Caenorhabditis elegans: one gene and its partner. The protein of the gene in region 2 interacts with the protein of the main gene of each other region in a pairwise test. Each region holds a gene or a part of one and is shown on either strand. Other genes may lie near its edges. The genes, in order: brc-1 and uev-2.

Region 1 (11,184 bases), 1.7 Mb from region 2:
ATGATCAGAAGGACGCCGAGAAGAAGTGATAGGATAAGGAGACGACTGCCAAGAAGATCAAGCCATGCTTGTTCTTTCTAATAATGTTTTTTATATTCCGTTCCTGTTCAGATTTTTATTCACCCCTCCCCATTCGGTTAATGTTCTTCTCTCTCATTTCCTTGTTCAGCATATTTACTTAGTATCCCTCTCTGACGAGTTTTATATTGGTTTTCGAGACAATGAATGTTTTAAACGTTATATTGATGTTATTAAATGTGTTATTCAGTCAATCGGAAGAAAAACTAGATAAAAACAAACTATTCAGCTAAAATTCATCGAAAAAAGAGGAAATTTTCGGTTTTTCTCAGAAAATCAGTGGAAACATAATGAGAAACATAAAATATGCACTTTTTATTTTTTAAATTACTATTCTGTATCACAAAACATTTTTTTTCGACTTTTATTCGCTTAAATAATGAGAAAAGCGCTTTTAGCCAGAGCTGATATTGACGAATTGTCGTCAAATAAAATGCGCGTACGCAAAGTACGCAATAGTGTACAAAACTTATTCGCGTTGAATATTCAGTCAGCCAAATGGGACTACTGTAGAAATTTCTTCAGCCACGTTAGCTTTGCCTCCCCGTGTTTGTTTTCTCTTGTTTTTCACCAATTTTTCCCGTGTTTTCTTATTAAAACTGATAAATAAATATTTTTTCCTAATGCTAAAATAATTTCCAGATGAAAAAAATATGTATTCAGTCGGCAAGTAGTGGTGAAAGTGGTCAATGTAATATGATGGATTACGGGAATACAAAACCCAAACTTTTCCCCAAACATGATACATAGATGTTTAGATGCTAAAAGTACCTGATTTTCATAACGAGACCGCTGAAAAAGTTTTGAGGTTTTCAAAATTCAACTTTTTATGCGAAAATCTCTACTTTTTCACCAAAAAAGTTGAATTTTGAAAACCTCAAAACTTTTTCAGTGATCTCGTTATGAAAATCAGGTAGTTTCAGCATCAGAGCAGCATGTGTGGGAAAAAGTTTGGGTTTTTTATTCCCGTAATCCATCATATTGCATTGACCACTTTCACCGCTACTTACAGACTCAATACACAATTTTTTCACTTGGAAATTGTTTTAGCATCTGCAAAAAATATTTATTTATTAGTATTAATAAGAAAAAATGGGGAAAATTGGTGAAAAACGAAAGAAAACACGCGGAAAACAAAGCAACATAAATGGCCGCTGAAACTTGTCGGGGACTCGGCCATGGCCTAGAAACCTTTTTGCCTCGTCCCTCGTTCGAAAAAAGTTGCAGTGTAATTCCCCCGTGCTCACCCCATATTTCCAACATTTTCCATATTTTGTCCCTGCTCACCCCATATTAAAACCTTTCAATTTCATTTTAAATCTGATCGTTTTTCGAATTATGCACAATCTCAAAAAACACCCAAAATAAATAAACAATTTCAATGAACATTAATTCCGATAATTTTCAAAATCACAAGCATGTTGGGTGTGTGTGTACTCTGCTCTGATAAACTCATTTTCATGTGAATTTTGAAAGAATTCGACCAGAGATCGCACACATTTATCAACAGAATTCACCACTTTTTGTATCAGACCATCTCATCGGAACATTTTTTTAAAGCGGAAATTAAAATGAAACACAAAAATTAAAATATTACCTCAGACAGTAAAAGACCCGTTGTTATACAATCTACAAGCCATTGACGTCCTACAATAACGCATTTTCGAGCAATTGCATAGAGATATGCTGTGGATTTTTGAGAAATTGAACGGCCTTCTGAAAATTAGTTAAAAATTATTTTGAACTAAAAATCGGTTTTAAATAGGTTTTTCTCGATGAAAAAATCCAACTTATTTTAAAATTTCGCGCGGAAAATCGAAAAACGAGAATTTTGTTTTTTCGAATTTCCGATATTTTGAGCACACTTAGATTTTTTTAATAGCTTAAAATTTTGGCAATTTTTTTTAATTTTTGGAAGAAAATGTACAAAATTTTATGAAACCGTTGTTTCTCTTTTTTGTAAATTTAATTTTCGGTTTTTCGAATATATCTGGGAAAAAAACCAAAAAATTGCATCATTTTAAAAATCTAAAATTCTCAATTTTTGGATTTTTTAAAAAGCGTTAAAAAAACCATTTTTCTGCAAAATGGTTCGATTTTTTATTCTGCCGTTTGCAAAAATTTGGTAAAATCATGGTTTTTTTTAAATTTTTTTCACAGATTATTTTTGAGAACAATATCTCTAAGAAAAAAGTCTTCCTCCAAATTTCACAGTTTTAACGAACCACTATTCATCATCACCAAATGAGTCGTGTGCTCATTCACATCCTCCGCAAATCGGCACGCATTTGACAAGAATTTGTGATAGAAATCGCTGAGAAGTTCCTGAAAAATAAGAAAATGTTTGAATTTCAAACATCCACCAGTCCCACTACTTCGTCCGCATCATTATGAATTCTCGAGCAAACAATTGTTTTTGGTACTTGTGACAACTCATCGTCGATTCGATCTTCGTCATCTTGAATTGCTTTCGGTGTACGGTCGGCGTCAAGGGTAGTTGACTGAAAAATAATTTTTATTTGGCTTTTTTTCAAAATTGGAATATTTTTGTTTTTGTTTTAATTATTATTTTTAGTTTTTCCGATATCTCCAATAATATTTCGATTTTTCTATCAGGTTGTCCCATAAGTTTTTGTACTATTTTTTTTTTGAAAAAAATTTATTTCTCTCAAGCGACAAGTAGTACTATTCACACAAGTATTCACCATTAGTGTCCACCACTTGTTGCCATTTACTAGGTAACATCATGATGCCACGGGAGAAGAAATCCGGCGAACGCGATGAGAAGAAAGTGGAGAGTTCAGTTTTGAGATGCTCTTCGTCGTCGAATTGCTTGTCGCGCATGTAGTCACTGAGAGACAAGAACAAATGGTAGTCGGTTGGTGCAAGATCTGGAGAATATGGTGGATGCGGTAAAACAGTCCAACCAAGATCTTGCAGCTTTTGGAAAGTCTTCTTGGCGACATGAGGCCTAGCATTATCGTGAAGAAAATATAGTTTTTCATATTTTCCGTTGGTCTTTTCTGCAACTCGGTCCAATTGGGCACAATAGTAATCAGCAGTGATAGTTTTATTAGTTGGCAACAATTCCCAGTGCACGGGTCCTTGAACACCCCACCAGACACAGATCATAATCTTTTTTGGGTGAAGATCAGGCTTTGGCGTCGGTATTCCTTTCTCACCGATCGGAAGCCATTGACGTTTTCTGGAATGGTTAACATAGAGCACCCACTTCTCATCTCCAGTAACCAGATTGTTCAGCCAATCGAACTTTCGACGAAAAGTTAGAAGTTGAGTACAAACGTTGACCCGAGTGAGCTTCTGTGATGCCGAAAGTTCATGAGGCACCCAAATTCCAAGTTTTGAAGTAAAACCAAGGCGACCCAAGTGACGTGCAATTGTGCTATGACAACACTCAAGCTTCTCTTCCATTTCACGAAGACTAAGACGAGGCTCTTCCTCCACCAGCTTCACTAGGTCTTCTTCATTTAACTCTACCGGTCGCCCAGAACGTTCTATTTCTTCGAGACTGAAGTCGCCGTTCTTGAACTTTTGAAACCAACTCTTTGCTGTATTATAAGAGAGTGCTCCCTCACCCATCGCACCGCATATGTTTCGTTCCGCTTCCATTGCTGAATGACCAAGACGAAATTCATAAAGAAGAAGCAATCTAACGTCTCGACGTTCAAGTTTGATGATTGTCATCGTGGCAAAGTAGAAATGGATGAAATGAATCTTTTCTGAAAGGGGACGACCCGACCTTGACACGACCTACGATGAAAAAATTTTAAAACTTTCTAGAAGTTTTGGAAAAATATTTGAAAAAAAGTACAAAAACTTATGGGACAACCTGATATTTAAAAAAAAATTGCTTAAAAATTTATTTTCAAATTTTTTCTTTAAAGTTATGCTCGAAATTATAACAAAAATGGAAATTTTGAATGAAAAAATATTTGCATTTTCTCAAAATTATGTTTTTTTTTCGGGTTCAGCACTTTTTTATAAAACAATTCAACTTTTTTTAAAATTAAAATTGAATTTTTCTGTTGAAAACCATATATTCCAGGGGTGTGCGGCAAATCGCAAAATTTGCCGAGCTCGGCAAATTCGGCAAATCTCTTTGTTCAATATTTGCCGAGCACGGCAAATTCGGCAAATTTGCCGAGCTCGGCTAATTCGGCAAATTCGGCAAATTTGCCGTGCTTAACAAACTCGGAAATTTTTGATATTTTTTGATGTTTTTGGACCACCAAAACTACCGAATTCTTAACACACATCTGGCTTCGGAATCAGTTCCGTGTAGTATGTCTGCTTAAGCATCAAAATAACTCAATTTTGTGTCATTTTACTGAATTTTTGGCGAAAAAATCAGTAGTTTTAGTCGAAATTGTACTGTCAAATTTTTGACGTGTGCGGCAAATTTCGAAATTTGCCGAGCTCGGCAAATTCGGCAAATCAACTTTTTTGAAATTTGCCGAGCTCGGCAAACGACAAATTCGGCAAATTTGCCGCACACCCCTGATATATTCTGCACACAATGATTTTCCTATATTTCTTACACTTGTAGCACAGGTAACATTTGCCAGATCATCTTCATCAATTTGTAGTTCTCCTTCAGAATCTTCTACAACTTCATCATCATCTGATGCTACGACCACTGGCTTTTTCACTGCAGTATTTAGATTCAAATCGATCAAATTTTGAGTACTTTTGAAAACTTCAGGCTTTTGGGCTAGTTTTTGGATTGGCTCAGGAGGAGTTTCCAGCGATTCAGAAGCTGTCATAATTTTTATGTTTTCAAGATCTTGAGAACTCGCAAAGGATACTCTTCGATTCGCTGGTTTCTCTGATTTTTTCGGTGGCGCCACATGGAATTTCTCCATTAGCTGATTGATATTCTGCAAAAAATATTTTATTTCAAAAATTATTTTCCTCTAAATAAGCCCGAATCATCACAAACATTTCGAAGAAATTGTCGCATCGTCGGCATTAATTGGAAAAGTGCATCGATTTCATCAATCTCTGTCGAATTTTCTGGAAAATTGGCAAAAATTAGCGAATTTTTTTTTGATTTTTGACCAACCTCGGAGGGTATTTATGTATTCTTCAATATCAACATTTTTCAGTTCTTCTCTTGATATTTTATACGTTTCTGTAGAGGTTTCCACGTCTTTTTTCAATTTTTCCAGCGGGAATACTCGACTTTGGAGCTCTACAGGTTGTTTTGTGGCTGGTTCTGGCGGTTCTACCGGTTCTGCAGGCTCCTCGGCGAATGCGCTCGGCGGTTGTGGTCGACTCGGTCGCTTTCGGCGCTGAAAATACAGATTTAATGTTAATAGAGTCAAAATAGCCCAAAAAGGCCGAATTTTTTAATGATAACTTCGAAAAACGGACTAAATTATGCAAAAACTCAAAATTTTTCAACTATTTAGCTAATTAGCAATTTGTATTGCATTTTTAATTTTTTTTCCCAAAAAAATACACTAGAAAATGTAACTATAGAGTCCAGTTTTCCAAACAAAAAAAAAGTAAAAAATATTTCTTTTCTGCTTTTTTCGTGTTTTTGACGAAATTTTTTCGCAGTCCGCTATGATTTTCAGTCAGAAATTAGCAAATCGATGAAAAAAGTGTGTAATAAAATTATTAAAAATTGATTTAATCGCTATACGACACAAAAAAAGGTGAAAAATGTTTTTATTTGACATTTTAGAAATATTTTTAGTGATTTTCTTTTGGTTTTAATTGGTTTTTTGTGCCAAAAAGCATACCACTGGCAAAAAAGGTATAGCAAAATCTGGAGCGCATCGTTTTCCATCATTCTCTGGAATAATCGTGATATCCAGCGGCATTTGACTTTCCATGAACATTTTCTCTGGCGGCAGTGACTTGAACGTATTCATATTCTCAATATCTTTTTTAAATGCTTCTGATAGCTTTAAATAGTTCTGCACAGCCATTGTAATTTGATAAGTATCTCGACAACTTCGCTTATCCAGTACACTTCTACAAATTGGGCATTGAACTTTTCGTTTTCGTTCGAAGCAAGCGTTAATGCAAGAACGACAGAAAATATGGAAACATGTGGACAGAATTGGATCTTTGTATGTTGAACAGCTGAAAAAAAACCAATTTAAGGTTTTTTTGTTGATTTTTTGAAAATAAATTACCAAATTCCACATTTCAGTTCTTTTTGCAGTCGTGCCACTGTTTCTGTGATCCTCAGTGCAACATCTGCCATCTGAAATTAAATTTTAAACAAATAACATTTCATTTTAATTGAAAAATCAATAAAGTAGGTTAAAATACAAAATATTTGATTTCAAAACTCCCGCGCTGAGGGGGCATCAGAGAACACTCATTGCAAACCTGCTCCACTGACAATCGGGGCGGAGTAAAGCGGAGAGGAGAGAGCGCCCCGCCTCCCCGCCGGTGCCTATATTTCAGTCGGTGCCCCCGGTCTTCGCCAGCATCCCCGCTTTTCCTCTCCCTTCTCTGATGACTCTCTTGTTTTTCCATATTCTATCAAGGAAATTCCCTTTGGAAATCCTGAGACTTCAAGCTACGGAGAATATTTTTTTTTAGAAAAAGAAAGAAAAAAAGAAGAAAGAGTGCGCGAAAACGATGCTGCTTTTTCGGTTTTCTATCTTTTTTTCTTCTTTTTCGGCTTTGAAAAAAAAAACATTTTCTGGATGGTAGCTCTTTTTGGGAAAGCTTTATGCAGTAGTTTTCAGTTAGTTTAGCTGCTAAATATCATTTTTGCAAGGTTCCGTTCAAACAAATTTTGCAAACACGAATTTTTCTTTTTATAATATTTTACTTTAATATTCTGCTTTTTAAAAAAATTTTAAAACCAAGATTAAAGATATATAATCTGCTTTTTTCCTCAAAATCTAGATGATAAAATTTTTAGAAAACTAATGTAGTTCAAAAAACTCCACATCTTCTCTTAACTCAAAAAAAAACAATTTTTATAAAAAGAGACATTTTTGCCGTTTGTCGCGATAACTTGCTTTATTAAAATGCCAAATGTGGTTTTTTAATAAAGTAATTAATTAATGTTATTGATTATTCAAATTTTGAGAAAAAAACATAATCAAGCCTTTAAAAATCATTAAAAAAGCAGAAAAAAAACACAAAACACACTATAAAAATTAATTTTTTAAAAAAATTTAATTGAGCAATTAGTGCAATTTTTCGTAACGGTGCTTGCGTACTGTGCACTTGATCCGACGACATCTACAGTACTAACTTTCTCATCTTATTTTTTTAAACGTTTCCACGTCAAATTTTCAACTTTCCCGGCGGTAATTTTCAGATTTTCATAATCAATTCTGACCAAAATACCAGCAAAACTCTGCACTCGAAGGTCAATTTTATTTATTTTCTCTCACTTTTTCCTCTCTCCGCCGTCCCCTTTCGTCCACCGTTTGACCCCATTGATCACACACAACCGTAGATTTGTTTTCTGATCGTTCTTCGAAATTCGTTTATCAGAGAACTGTTCAAACCGAATTTTAGGAGTAGTTTGAAATATAGAACGTGACTTTACTGGTAACAAATTGTGAGAAATCTAATAAATAGAAGAAAAAACGAAACGAAATTGTATTTCTCGCGTTGTGTTATTGAGTTTGTTTTCTCCAGTTTTCCTTTTTTTCTTTCTATTTTCTTTTCTTTTCCAAGTGTTTGTTCTTTGTCCTGCTCACGGTTTATGGTGCCATATTTCGCATGTTTTACCGCATTTTCTTATCATAAAGTGCCTCATTTTCAGGTTATTGCATCTCATCATGTCGGACGTTCGCGTCAAGTTCAACCTAGCCAACGATGGAGAAGGTCTCGACGAGGATGTAAGAATTTATTTCTTCGAAAGAATACTTTTAAAACCAATAGATTTCAGATTTTCCTCCCTCCAGCCCCACTCCTTGCCGGTGCTCACTGTGCTGGCCTTCAATCTTACCACGATTTGTACCGTTCCTCGATCAACGATGCTGACGAGTTCTGGCGTACCGTCTCATCTGAACTCCATTTCGAACAAGGAACCTCTAAGGGTCTCGAATGGAATTTCGACTCGAAAGCTGGAAATGTCTTCGTCAAGTTTATGGATGGAGCCAAGACTAACATCTCGTACAACTGTTTGGAAAGAAACATTAAACGTGGATATGGAAACAAAATCGCCTACATTTTCGAAGGAAACGAGCCAACCGACACCTCCACCTGGACATACAACGAGCTACACGCCCAAGTAGTCCAATTCTCCGCTGTTCTGAGATCTCATGGCGTCAAACGAGGCGATGTGGTTGCTTTATATCTTCCAATGATTCCCGAATTAGCAGTTGCAATGCTTGCGTGTGCCCGTATCGGAGCAATGCATTCTGTTGTTTTCGCTGGTTTCTCTGCCGAATCACTTGCCGCTCGTGTTGTCGACGCTCGCTGCAGAGTTTTGGTTACGGCGGACGGAGTTTTTCGAGGAGCTAAACCAATTGGGCTCAAGTCAATTGCGGATGCAGCTGCCGTTCTCGCATCGCAGGAAGATGTCAAAGTGGAAGCTATCATTATGGTGGAACACTTAAAACGAGTCACGAAGCCTGATGGAGTGGAACTTCCCAAGGTAACTAAATATAATAAATTTAATGCTCTAAAATGCTCAAAGTAGTCTCAAATTCAGAAAAACCAGAAAAAAATTAAGTTTTATTGATTTTTCATTTAAAATTACAACAAAAAACATTTTTCAGGTCGATTACACCGATATCACCGTCATCTACGATTCGGAGATGCTCAAGTGTGCAGGCGTGGATTCCCCGGTAGAATGGATGGATTCTGAAGATCCGCTATTTATTCTCTACACATCGTTAGTTCAGAATTAGAATTTACTTATTTCTCATTTAATTCAAATTGTTAATTTTCAGTGGCTCAACCGGAAAACCGAAAGGTATTCAACACACTACAGCTGGATACATGACGTACGCCTACGCAACCACAAAATACACTTTTGATGCACAAGAAGACGATGTTTACTGGTGTACTGCCGATTGTGGATGGATCACCGGACACTCGTACCTTCTTTATGGACCTTTGATGAATGGGCTCAAGGGAATTTGGTATGAAGGTGTGCCGACTTATCCGACTCCTTCTAGAATGTGGGATGTCACTGATAAGTATGGTGTGACCAAGCTGTATACCTCACCAACAGCCGCAAGAGCTCTTATGGCTCTCGGAAATCAGTGGCTTGAAAGGTAATAATTATTCAAAAATAATTGTTCAGCATCTTTATTTTTAATTTTCAGCTCTTCTCGCAAAACTCTCAAGGTTATCGGAACAGTTGGAGAGCCCATCAATCCTGCTGCATGGATGTGGTTGTACAAGCAAGTTGGACTTTCCAATGTATCCATTGTGGATACTTACTGGCAAACTGAAACTGGAGGACACATGATCACATGCCTTCCAGGAGCAACTCCAATGAAGCCAGGAGCAGCTGCAATGCCATTCTTCGGAGCATCTCCAGTTCTTTTGGATGCTGAAGGTCGTGTTATTGAAGGTCCGGGAGAAGGATCACTATGCTTTGATCGTGCCTGGCCTGGAATGATGCGTGGAATCTATGGAGATGAGCAACGCTTTGTCAAGACCTATTTGGCTCCATTCAATGGATACTATTTCACTGGAGATGGTGCCAGACGTGATGAAGATGGATACTTGTGGATAACTGGACGTGTTGATGATTTGATGAATGTCAGTGGTCATCTTCTGTCTACTGCTGAAATTGAATCAGCTCTTGTGGCTCATGAGAAAGTTGCTGAAGCTGCCGTTGTTGCTGCTCCACATGACATCAAGGGATCCTTCCCATACGCATTCGTCACTTTGAATGTTGGAGAGAGAATCAATGAAAAGCTTGTGGCTGAGCTCAAGAAACTAGTTCGCGAGAAAATTGGTGCATTGGCTGTTCCAGATGTTATCCAAGAAGCTCCAGGACTTCCAAAAACTCGTTCCGGCAAGGTTACCAGAAGAATCTTGAGAAAGATTGCTGAAGGATCCGAAAGTGGAATCGGTGATACTACTACTCTAGTCGACGAATCTGTCATCAAACAACTAATCTCTGGACGTTCTGCACGTGCATAAACGAACTTGAACAATTGTAAATCAATTCAATTCTTACTATTAATGTTACTTTTTCTGTATTACTTCTCTTTTCCCCCTCTATCGTTGTAATTTCTGCAGAATCAATGCAAGATCTAAACTTTTAACCCCAACATGACCTTCTTTGTAATCAAGATGCATTCCCTGATTGACTCCTGTGTAGAATTAAATTCCAGTGTTGTAATTTCCCCCAGTAATTTATTGAACCCTGAATTCGAAATTAGAAAACAAGTAAATGATTCAGAACTGATTAATTGTTTTAACTCAATTTCAGATTTTCAGATAACAATTTTGGCTTATTCGGATAATTAAAACACGAAACATGAAATTACAAGAAGAAGATTAAATACTTACATGGAGAAATGCATTTCATATGCCCAGTGAATCTGATGTTTAGCTCAATTTTTATGAATTATGATAAAAACCACGAAAGTTCAATACAAAATAATATTTGATTTAACTTGCATTGCAAAATTACAGGAAAATGAATTATTTTAAGCATAAAGTGTGTTGTTTTGATAGGCCGTTTGAACAAAGCAAATCGATTTTCTTGATTATATAATGATGCTTCAAAATAAAACTTGATTTACATGAATATTTCCCGTTAAAAAACAATGTATTTAAAAACATTATTATTTGCAGAATCTCTCCAACTGCGAAAGAAATCGAATTCAAACAACCGCGCTTGTCGTACACTTGTACACTCCGCCGCCACAGCTACGGTAAAAGCGTGTTTTGCGACGCACAAGTGTGCGCCGAGTGTGTGGGTCTCCCAACGCCTTTCACTGGCCTAAACTTCATTTCAATTTGTTTTAGCCTAAAATTTTCATGTTTTTTTCGAATAAATTTTGTTTTTTTACGTGCAATTCTAAATTTAAAATGTTCAAATTAGTATCTGTCTAGAAAAGTAGTTATTTAAAAAATTTTTTAACCGAAAACGCAATTTTTATTCTTTGTTCGCTCATGCTTTTTCTATAA
Region 2 (10,014 bases):
TGATTCTTGATCTCAATCAATTGTTTTCAGCGTATCATTGAAAGCGTTTGAATCGATAGCTTTGAGCATAGTTTCCAGATTTATCAACAGATTAGGAACGCTTAATCCTTCATTTTGTTGCATCGACTCACACGATTCCTTGACTTTTGGCACTCTAGAATTAAGTTAGAAGGCATTATATATAGTTAAAAGACAAATTTACCCTGTTGCCTCCGATGTTCCCTTTTTTATTAGACGCCCACCACAGTTATCCACATCACATTTTCTTTTATTCCCGACTCTTTCAGATGTGTTTGCTGTACCCAGACTCAAATTACCATCCTTCGAACAAAAATATGAAATCTTCTTATTTTTGTCGAGTTGGACAACAGCGATGTTTGTCATTCCGAAAATTAATACCAATATTTTTAAAAATTAAATTTGAATTGTACTCATCATCATGTTCTTTTCTCCATACCGTTTATACATTTCTTCTTTTCTAGCTTCCTTTTTTTAAAATGAAACCTCGAAACTTTCCTTCAATCATTCATTTTGTGAAATTGTTAATTGCGAATAGGAAAATTATAACTTATTATTTACAAAAAATTCGAATTATCATTGCGATACATTATGTATAATATAACAAAACATATTCAAACGAAAAATAATAACAACTAAAGATATGAATTACTTAAAACCGTGATGAGACCCATTTTTATTCCCAGTCAAACTCATCCACTTCTTCATCTACCCAAGTACCTTGAAATAAACGTCCGTTGCAAGATCCCTGAAATGCAATTATGTTTAAGAAGTTTTACTAATACTAATATTTTAGTACCTTCTCCGAGTAATGACTGTATGGATCCACATTATTCAGAGTTTTAGAGCACAACCAACAGAACGAGGCATTACATTTTGTACAATGCATCTTATTGCATCCTTCGTCCTTCTCAATGTACACTAAACATTTCGGACACTGCTTGCTGTTCTCCTCCAGCCATCCACGATTAAGGAATCGTTCCTCCAGAGCCTTCATGTTCTTCTCTCCATACCGTTTATACATTTCTTCTTTTCCTGCTTCATCTGCTTCATTCCATTCTTTCATTATTCTCTCCTCGTCTTCTTTTCTAAATTTACACCTTGAGACTCCATGGAACGTTCCTTTGCACAAATTGCAGAAAGAATAATTGCAATAGGAGCATTCAACAAGGTTGCGTTGGCTGAAAAAATGTTTTTGTGAACTTATCATACGCTCAAAAAAATCAAGTCTTTGAGAGTCATTGTGAGCAGAATTATGGGCACCCAAAGATTTTATACGAGAAATCCAGCGGGCTCAACAAATTTCAACACTCAAATTTCAAACCGACAATCACAGAGCTCCAGACACAAAGTTCAAGAAAAATTCACGAGTTCTGATAGTCTAATAGCAACACAACACATTTTTCTAAATTTTACCTGTCAGTTAGATAAGCCACCATTTGGCAATTTTCATTTGGACATTCCATTGAATCATCCATTTCTCGAATTGCTTTTTCTAGCATATGAGCTTCATACCTTTAAAAATTAATCAAATACTTGTCAATCTCCTAGGAATCTTACTTTGCAAACAGCTCCTCTCCTAGAGCCTCTTGCACCATACCCTGTTGGGCTTCATTTTCACATCCTTCTGCTAGACATGACATTGGTTTCGACTGAAAAATCCAATAAAAATATATCAGCTAAGAAAATTCAAACTAACCACAAACCCCTTGGCAATAGAAATATAATAGTTGAAAGTGCAGGATTTGCAGAAAACATGAGAACATGGCTGGAACTTTATGCAGTGCTGTCCCATTTGGGATTCGAAGCATACCTGGAAATTTTGATGAAAAATTAGAAAAAAAATACAAACGTTACTTGGCAATCGTAGAGGGTATTAACAAACTGTTCTTCAACAGCTTCCTCTTCTTTCTGTAGTATTTTCATTTTCAGAGATTCGATAGTCTCTCCTTGTCTGTTCAGTGCACATGCCTCGTTCAAATTTATAATTTTCGGAGTGTTCTGGGCCATCTGAAATTTGATAGTTGAAAAAGACGCCAGCTGCTTGAATCAAAGAACGTAGCAGTCGACATTCCGCAGAATTAAAAAAGTTAAATTCTGCATGAGATATCTAGATTTAAATTCGCTCAAAGGCATACCCGTGAGATGTCGGTCTTCTAATCAACATCCTACTTCTAATGAATATGTAATTTCTACTATCTGTGTAGACCGTTACATCTCAGAACGCTTTGCAGACGACATATCGCGGGTAGCCCATCTATGTCATTCAATAACGAACCAGCAAAATGTCGGCTGCAGTTAAATTTAGCAGAGGACACCTTACGTGTCTGAGATGTCGGCTCATAATGGTGCTTTTTATTTGATTCTCGCTACTCACCAAATCAATTATTGTCTGGTAGCACATAAAAAGCACCTCCATCATCTGGTTTTCCTCGCAAATCTTTGCCAACTCGGTTTCACAAGATGTCATTTGTTCCTGATTCATCCAATAACTTTCCAGTTCAAGTTTTGGTGATGATACGGTGGGATAATCATTTGGAAGATGGAATTTTAGTCGAATTGGAGGAAGAATGTCAAGAGGAAGATGAAATTGATCGCCGGAGTCAGATGTTCCTTCAATTGTGACTGTTGGATCGTATAAGTTGTCAAATCCGACCTGAAATTGCACTTGACTATTCTAAAACTCATTTAAAAAAACCAACTAACCAACTTTCAACCGTAACTTAGTGACTCTTCTAAAAAATACTTTACTCCATATATGGCCATATTAGTTTATCTCGTACAGGAAAATAGTCAACCGTGGCCAAAATTTCGGGCTAATGATTATGGAGGCTATTGAAATTTTCTATACTTTGTTACCTTAAATATTTTTGATAACTTACATAATTACGTAGAAAGTGTAGCTAAAATATAGTAAGGGTAGTTTCAGATAAATAATTTTTTGTTGTTATTTAGTGGACATTAAATTACTTTTTTAAAAGTTAAAATACCCCAGCTTCTCTCAAAAAACCAAAATCTTTACCTCAATAATTCCCTGGATTTCAGCATTCTTATCACTCCAATCACTGGATTTCGCCAGTTTCTTCTCTCTTAGAACACTTTCCAATGCTTCCAATTCATATATTTGCAGGTCACGATCAGTCATTTTTTATCGATTTTTAGACAAGAGACGCAGAGATTCAATAGACGGAGTTTAGGTAATTTAGAAATGAATGTTCAGGAATTTATAGAAAATATTTTACATTATTAGTCAAAAATGTTCAAACAATATATGAGGAAAGTTTGCGGAACAAAAATCAAAATTAATTACTAAAATATTGCGAAATATTGCAAAATTGTAATGAGTAAAATTGCGCAATGTGATAGATAACCTGTTGTGGAAACGATGAGAAATACAATTTGAAACTTTAAATTTAGAGTATTATCAGTGAGAAATTGTTCAACTTAAATTGTGTTTTTCTCTACGTGATGTGTACTTTAATTGCGTTTCAATTGTTTGTATTTAAACAATCGAAGAGTTCAAATTTGCAGCAATGCTTGAAATTGCCCCCAAAAGTTCAATTTTTCAATTTGCCAAACCTTTCACTAAAATTTTTGAAAAATGTATCTATCCATGTACCTTATTCTTCAGGAATTGATAAAATCTATCGATTCATAAAAAACTAAAGCTATTCCAACAGAATAGAAAAACACAATGTTCAAAAATGAAAGAATATTAAAATCATGTGAAAAGGGAAAACTTCCAGAAAGTCGACTCTTCTCGTTTACTGCGTTTTGTGAATATCTGAAAACTTTGTACGGATTTGTTACCATTTCTTCAATAGGCCGTGTATCATTCTGTCAATTTTTGGTGGATAGGTAAAATGTAACAGCCAATTTGATTTCTGAAAAGTTTTCGAAACATTTTTAAATATATTTAAAACATTTATTTAGGTCATACAAGTCCCGATATTCGAATATGAAACTACATCCAATCACTGAAGTGCACCATTGTCCAGCCTTTCCATTTGTTCTGCAAATTAAAATTTATCTACAAATCTATTCTGGTGATTGCGGCTGGATAAAATTTTAGTCCAACTCCCTGATTACCTCGTATTTTATCTTGAAAATAGTCGTTTTTTTGGACAAAAGGGGCGTGTTGGGGTAATATCTGACATTAATCTGAATGACTCCATACTCGTAGCGAACTCGTTCAATTATTCCGGTCGGATAAGATTCAAAAGATTTGATGATTCCCTGTGCCGCTTCAATCATGCCACTGACAGCTGAAAATAACTAAATTTCAAAATTGTTTCTGATATCGTACTTACGAAGCATATCATCCGGAGCAAAAAGATCCACTACTGCAACTGGGTCCCCTGATTTGATAGCTGCCTGGAACTTTTCGAAGAACTCCTTCGGTACGTTGGCATATTCTTCGGGGACTGGATCCAATGAAAAGACAATAGAAGCACTTGAAAGAGCTAGAAGAAAAATTGGAAGACGCATATTTTGGTTTGGCTACATGGCGAACTGAGCATTTTTATAGTTCGAAATGCTAATTCAATTAGAATGTGAAAATTGTCAATCAATGCGGAGGTTGATGTTTGGTGTCGTATTGATGATCATGATCATTTTGGGCATTTTGAAGACACCACATGGGTTCTGCCGCGTACGGTATCCGGTCTCGTCATGATAAATTTTAGCTGAATGAAAAAGCGTGTGCAGTGTGTGGCAGAGGAGTTGCGTCATTCCACGTTTAAAAGTGTGCCCAACATCAGATATACCTTTAATCCTCCAACCCGTCGGAATCAAGTAGCTCACACACACACACACACATACATAATCTGAGAGCACGTGTAGTTTTTGTTACATGCTCAATTCTAAAACAGAGGGCGCGAGAGAGAAAGAGGCCATCTCTAGGACAACGTACTAATGATAGAGAGACGGCATCCGCTTCTGTGTGATTATGTAGCTCTTTTTCTCTCGTACCTGCCTCTTCTTCAACTTGTGATATTATCCCACGTATTCATACTCTCTTCTTCACTTTTTGTTTGAAGCTTCTGGTTGCCTTAGGCCTCGTGGGATAATATGCAACGTTTTGTGCGCTTTAAGAATATATTCACTGTAGCTTTTTCAAATAAGATCCAGCTTAGGTTCAGTTAACGCGGCTCCGGAAGCTTCGTCACGAATTGGATTACTTTGACTTTCCAGATTAGAGCTTAAGCTTTCAGAAACATGCGAAGACGTAGCAACAGACAATATGTTGATCTCTCATATTTTCGCGAAACTGCCGATGCGCTATTATTCGACGTTGAAACCAATTCACGCGAATTCACCAATGAAATCAACACTGTGAAGGAGGAGAAAGCCAAGTGGGATGAGGTAAGCTTTCACACAAAGTTTAACTCGCCTGCCTACCTGGGACCTAGGCCTGATTTATGCCTACTTCAAAAGTGGGCGTGGCATGTGTCGAAATAACTTTTTTTCAGAGAACACCGCAAGGGTATACGGCAAAGCCAATTAGTTTTGAGGGCGCAGACATATGGTGTTCTTGGATATGTACAGTACCTGGACCGAGAGGAAGCCCCTGGGAGGGAGGGGAATATGAGGTTTAATTACTTTTTAGTTCGCAAAAGTATATTATCTCCAGGTTTCCGTGAACTTTCACAAATGGCCTATAATTCCGCCAATTTGTGAATTCAAAACGCCGCTTCATCATCCGAACGTGGACCTCAGAGGTTGGTTAGAACTGTTTCGAAAAAATATGTTTGAGTGTGAAATACAGAAAACGGTAGCAAAAAGAAACGCATTATTACAAAAATCTTTACAGGATCAATTTATCTTAAAATGCTGGAACAAGAGCACTGGTCTTCTGAAACTTCACTCAAGAAACTTCTGAGGGAAATCAGCAATCTACTTGCAACGCCCGATCTTACTCAAGCTGCAAATATTGAAGCCTGGATGGAATATGAGAATCAGCGGTTAGATATATTTTAACGGCGCACAGCTGCAAATGTGAACAAACTCGGCCACCTATTCTTCTAGGCCACTTCGATTTGGAGCTAAGCGTCGTTGAACAGAGAAAAGAGAACACTTAACTTTTAAAATTATCTTGTTCCAGTGAAAATTACGAGGCTAAAGCTCGAGCTTATGCTTGGACAGTTAACCCGAACGCCGTGGGATACATGGAAGTATCCGAGAATTCCGGAATTCAGAGGGAGACAGCAAAGGCTAAGTTGGCAGTGCAAAATGGTGCCATGGAATCGGACGAGGATGATGACGATCTACCAATTGACATCGAAAACTAATATTACACAAATTTTTATATTTTTGGTATTGGCCAACGTTTTCTGTTGAAGACCTTTTCCACTTTCTCAAAACTTTCTTGCCGACACTCTATGGAATTTTTCAGATTTTTCTCCAAAAAGGTGCCAATTTTCTATACACATTTATTTAAATCCCAATGCCCCTTTTTTGCAGCAAACTTACCTGACCTATGTGATAATTTTTCCCATTTTCCCTACTTTCCCGATCACACCAATTTTTCATTCTCTTTCCAAAACCATGTCTTTTTACGAAAAAAGTGATTATTGTACCAAATAAAGCTATTCCAAACTCGTTGAGTCGGGGTGTCCTCCCATTATCTCTTAATGAAATGGCAGAACAAGAATAAATCTACGTAGTCAACATTTGTAGGCAGGGAGGTATGCTTGACTAAGCTCCAGTCTACTAAGGATTTAAAAAACTCGGCCACCGATTTCTTGTTCTCGGCCACGTTGCAATGAACCGCAATGCCCTTCAAAAAGAGGTGATACTCGTGATTGCACGTCATTACCTCATCCCCAATGTCTATATTTACTTCTCCCGCACACCTTGTCAGATATCTGCACTGTTCATGGTGTGCTCATCGCCTCGCGGAGAGAGCTCTAACCCAAAAGTTTTAAACGTAAAAAGCCGGAAACGGTATAGGTTTATCGGTTCACCGAGAGCGCGCCTAGATCGTGTGGTACCGCCCCTCCTCGCCTCCCGTCAAAGGTCTCTATTTACTCCCAAACAGTGTGCTCTCGGAGCCTCCCGATCCCCCTCGCTGACCATTGTCCACTCCACTCGACCGTGCACAGTTGACTCCTTTTTTTGTACTAGTCGGTTGTTGGAAATGAAACGTATTCTTTTGATTTCTCTATTTTCGGCGGTTGTCAACGGCTTTTACTACAAGAGAACTTTATACGGAGATGCTAATGAGGGAGCTGCCATGCCAGACTATGTTAATGCTTATTATGTGAGTTTTCTTGGCTTGTAGGATTTTTAAGTGGCAGTTTCGGCAGAGATTTCACATCTAAAATATAGTTTTTGAGTTGTTTTGCAACAAGTCAGCCAAAAAATCGGTGGCCGAGTTTTTTGCTTTCCGCGGCCACGTAGCGAAAATCCCAAGGTTAATTATTACAAGGTCACAACCATTTCGGTATGTTGTGTAGATTTTTCTAATTGAAACTAGATCAGAACACAAACGCCTGCTTGCTTGCCTTCATTCACCTACGCTTGTATCAAGATTGTGCACATTGAAAGTAGGCGTGTAGACAGGCACGTAGGTACCAAGGACTGAAGATTTCATGAAAACAACACCAAACACCAGAGTCCAGCAAGAAAAAAAACCAAAAAATAATAGGCAAGCTTTCATGAAAACGAGTCTGCCTACCAAGCCTTATTGAAAATTCTGAACATTCATTTTCCAGGGTTTTCCAACAATCCCAACACAAGAGCCACGTCGGCGACCATCTTTCAACATGAATCCACCACAAGGATATTTTCATCGGGAGCATCCATTTGACTTTGGGCCATTTGGTTATATGAGAGCAAGGTAAGTTCCGGAATAGGTGGCCAAGTTTTATCTCCTCGCGGCCACTTAGTAAAAAACTGACCGTAGCGCCAGATTACAACGATAATCTATTCAAAACTCACTTTAGACGGTACCTTAGCAACAAATAATCTTGATTTTCCTTCAGAATTGGAGAAGCCAACTTCGGTGAGCCCATGGAGAAAACTGACCGCGAGCGAGCTATGGAACGGGCCAAACCGGGATTTTGGCGTCAAAACCAACGCGAAACCATGGATCGGATCAAGAAAATTATTGGAGAGCAGAGAATGAATATGGAGCAGAAGCAAATGCATATTCGAAGAGTTCTAGCAAATGAGAGTGATGAGATAAGGGTAAGAAGATAAATAATTTTTTCTCAACAAACACAAACATTTTTCAGTCCAAATTCGCTGATATTCACAAAAGACTGATCATGAAAAACAACAAGATGACCGTCTCCTCTCCAGTTCCAGAGCTTAGCAAACAGGCGAAGAAGCTTGAGAAAGAGGCCAAGAAAATTATGGAAAACAAGAAAATGAGTGTAGAGAAGAAGCAGGAGAAACTTGACAAACTTATGCTTAAGGCTCCAGAGAACGTTAAGAATGAGCTCAATGCTATGAACGATTCGGGGTGAGCATTGAGTTTTTCATGGTAGGCAAGACGCGCATGTAGGCAGGCGCAGGTTGCATGGGAGGCAGGAAGCAGGCGTTACATGGTATTCCTAAAAAGATTCCAATCCGTGTAACACTCTCGGAGAATTCAATCATATCAAAATTGATTGATGCTTAGTCGATTTTTGTGTTTCTCCTCTATTGCTCTCTTCGAAAAATCTCAAATCTTTCAGATCAACACCTGCCCCAATTCAAGCTCCATTCCCAGCTCCAGGACAAACCGAGGCTCTTAATCGGGCAAACCCATCAATGGCTTCTCAAGTTGAAGTAATGACTCGTAATGCACCAACTCAAGCAGTGGTTGAAGCTCGTCAAATCCGAGTTTCCGAAGATGGAAAAACTGTGGAAATTTAAATAATCTGTGCTCTATGAGCAATTCTTCTTTTTGTGTATTTTACGTCTAATTTTCTCAACTGCCCAACGTCTTTCCCTTGTGCTCCATCCCCAGAAACGACGAGCTATCTGACTGTATATACAAGTGATTTCAGCTCGGCGTTTGCTCACCTGCTCAGTTCGCCTTCTGTAAATATAACCTTAATCCATTCAAAATCGTTGTTATCAATCTCAGCATATCAATTGTTTATCAGTGTTATTTAAATAATAAATATATGGGATTTTCTGCGCTAATATATTAGAAAACTCGTATCTTTCCAATAAAAAGTGGAATTTGAACATCCACGCTTTGTTTCTGTCAGATGGAGCGCGTTTGGTGCATGTTTTTTCAGCGGTTTTTTTGCCCTTTTAAAAAAGTCTAGATTTCTAAACATTTTGAACGCGATACCAGTTTTTCTTGTTCTAGTTTGTGTTAAAATAATTTCTACTAAATTTCAGATGTCAGACGACAGCCGTGAAACTCAGTTATTCGAGCTAGAAGCACTGGAGAGTGTGCTAAGGGAGAATAAATTGACGAGAATCAGTGATTGGGCGGATAAAAATGCAGAAATTCGGGGAATAATTGAAGTAGAATATTGAGCGTATAAAGAAGTTTATTATTAAATTTTTTCTTGATTTCAGGTAGGATTTGACACATTATCCGATCCAAAAGTCACAATTGAAGGAACGTCTGACTCCAGCGATCATTTTTCCATCCCCCTAGACATTCTTCCACCAATCCGATTGAAATTTCATCTTCCAAATGATTATCCCTCAGTATCATCACCAAAACTTGAACTGGAAAGTTATTGGATGAATCAGGAACAAATGACATCTTGTGAAACCGAGTTGGCAAGGATTTGCGAGGAAAACCAGATGATGGAGGTGCTTTTTATGTGCTATCAAACGATAATTGATTCGGTTAGTTTTTTGTTCTTTTTAACAAATTAAATATATAAAAATAAGTTTCAGATAGACCAATCTCACCTAAAAATCATCAATCTGAACGAGGCGTGTGCGCTGAAAAACAATGGAGAAACTATTGAATCGCTGAAAAAGAAAATTCTTGGAAAAGGCGAAGAAGCTGCTGAAGAGCACTTTGTCAATACACTTTTC

What was found.
Region 1: the proteins of uev-2 (region 2) and brc-1 interact in a two-hybrid assay, tested with the Caenorhabditis elegans proteins (one study listed by BioGRID).

Annotation. Positions count from the first base shown.
Region 1 is NC_003281.10:3,856,643-3,867,826, forward strand, and holds the start of brc-1 (Breast cancer type 1 susceptibility protein homolog), read right to left. Parts: upstream 6,317-11,184; coding exon 6,246-6,316; intron 6,193-6,245; coding exon 5,847-6,192; intron 5,391-5,846; coding exon 5,162-5,390; intron 5,113-5,161; coding exon 5,039-5,112; intron 4,977-5,038; coding exon 4,638-4,976; intron 2,580-4,637; coding exon 2,451-2,579; intron 2,404-2,450; coding exon 2,304-2,403; intron 1,795-2,303; coding exon 1,676-1,794; intron 290-1,675; coding exon of another isoform or gene 1-289. Other genes in the region: acs-19 (Acetyl-coenzyme A synthetase), read left to right, coding at 7,863-7,922, 7,973-8,683, 8,808-8,923, 8,982-9,308, 9,360-10,188. UniProt on the Caenorhabditis elegans protein: E3 ubiquitin-protein ligase that specifically mediates the formation of polyubiquitin chains and plays a central role in DNA repair.
Region 2 is NC_003281.10:5,577,906-5,587,919, forward strand, and holds uev-2 (UBC core domain-containing protein), read left to right. Parts: upstream 1-5,219; 5' UTR 5,220-5,235; coding exon 5,236-5,382; intron 5,383-5,489; coding exon 5,490-5,609; intron 5,610-5,650; coding exon 5,651-5,738; intron 5,739-5,830; coding exon 5,831-5,981; intron 5,982-6,121; coding exon 6,122-6,308; 3' UTR 6,309-6,617; downstream 6,618-10,014. Other genes in the region: F56D2.5 (RBR-type E3 ubiquitin transferase), read right to left, coding at 695-766, 818-1,199, 1,435-1,533, 1,579-1,670, 1,718-1,831, 1,876-2,028, 2,396-2,674, 3,041-3,163; F56D2.8 (DUF4440 domain-containing protein), read right to left, coding at 3,983-4,030, 4,108-4,283, 4,329-4,506; F56D2.3 (DUF148 domain-containing protein), read left to right, coding at 7,157-7,279, 7,734-7,858, 8,004-8,208, 8,256-8,485, 8,700-8,880; F56D2.2 (RBR-type E3 ubiquitin transferase), read left to right, coding at 9,358-9,486, 9,541-9,819, 9,871-10,014.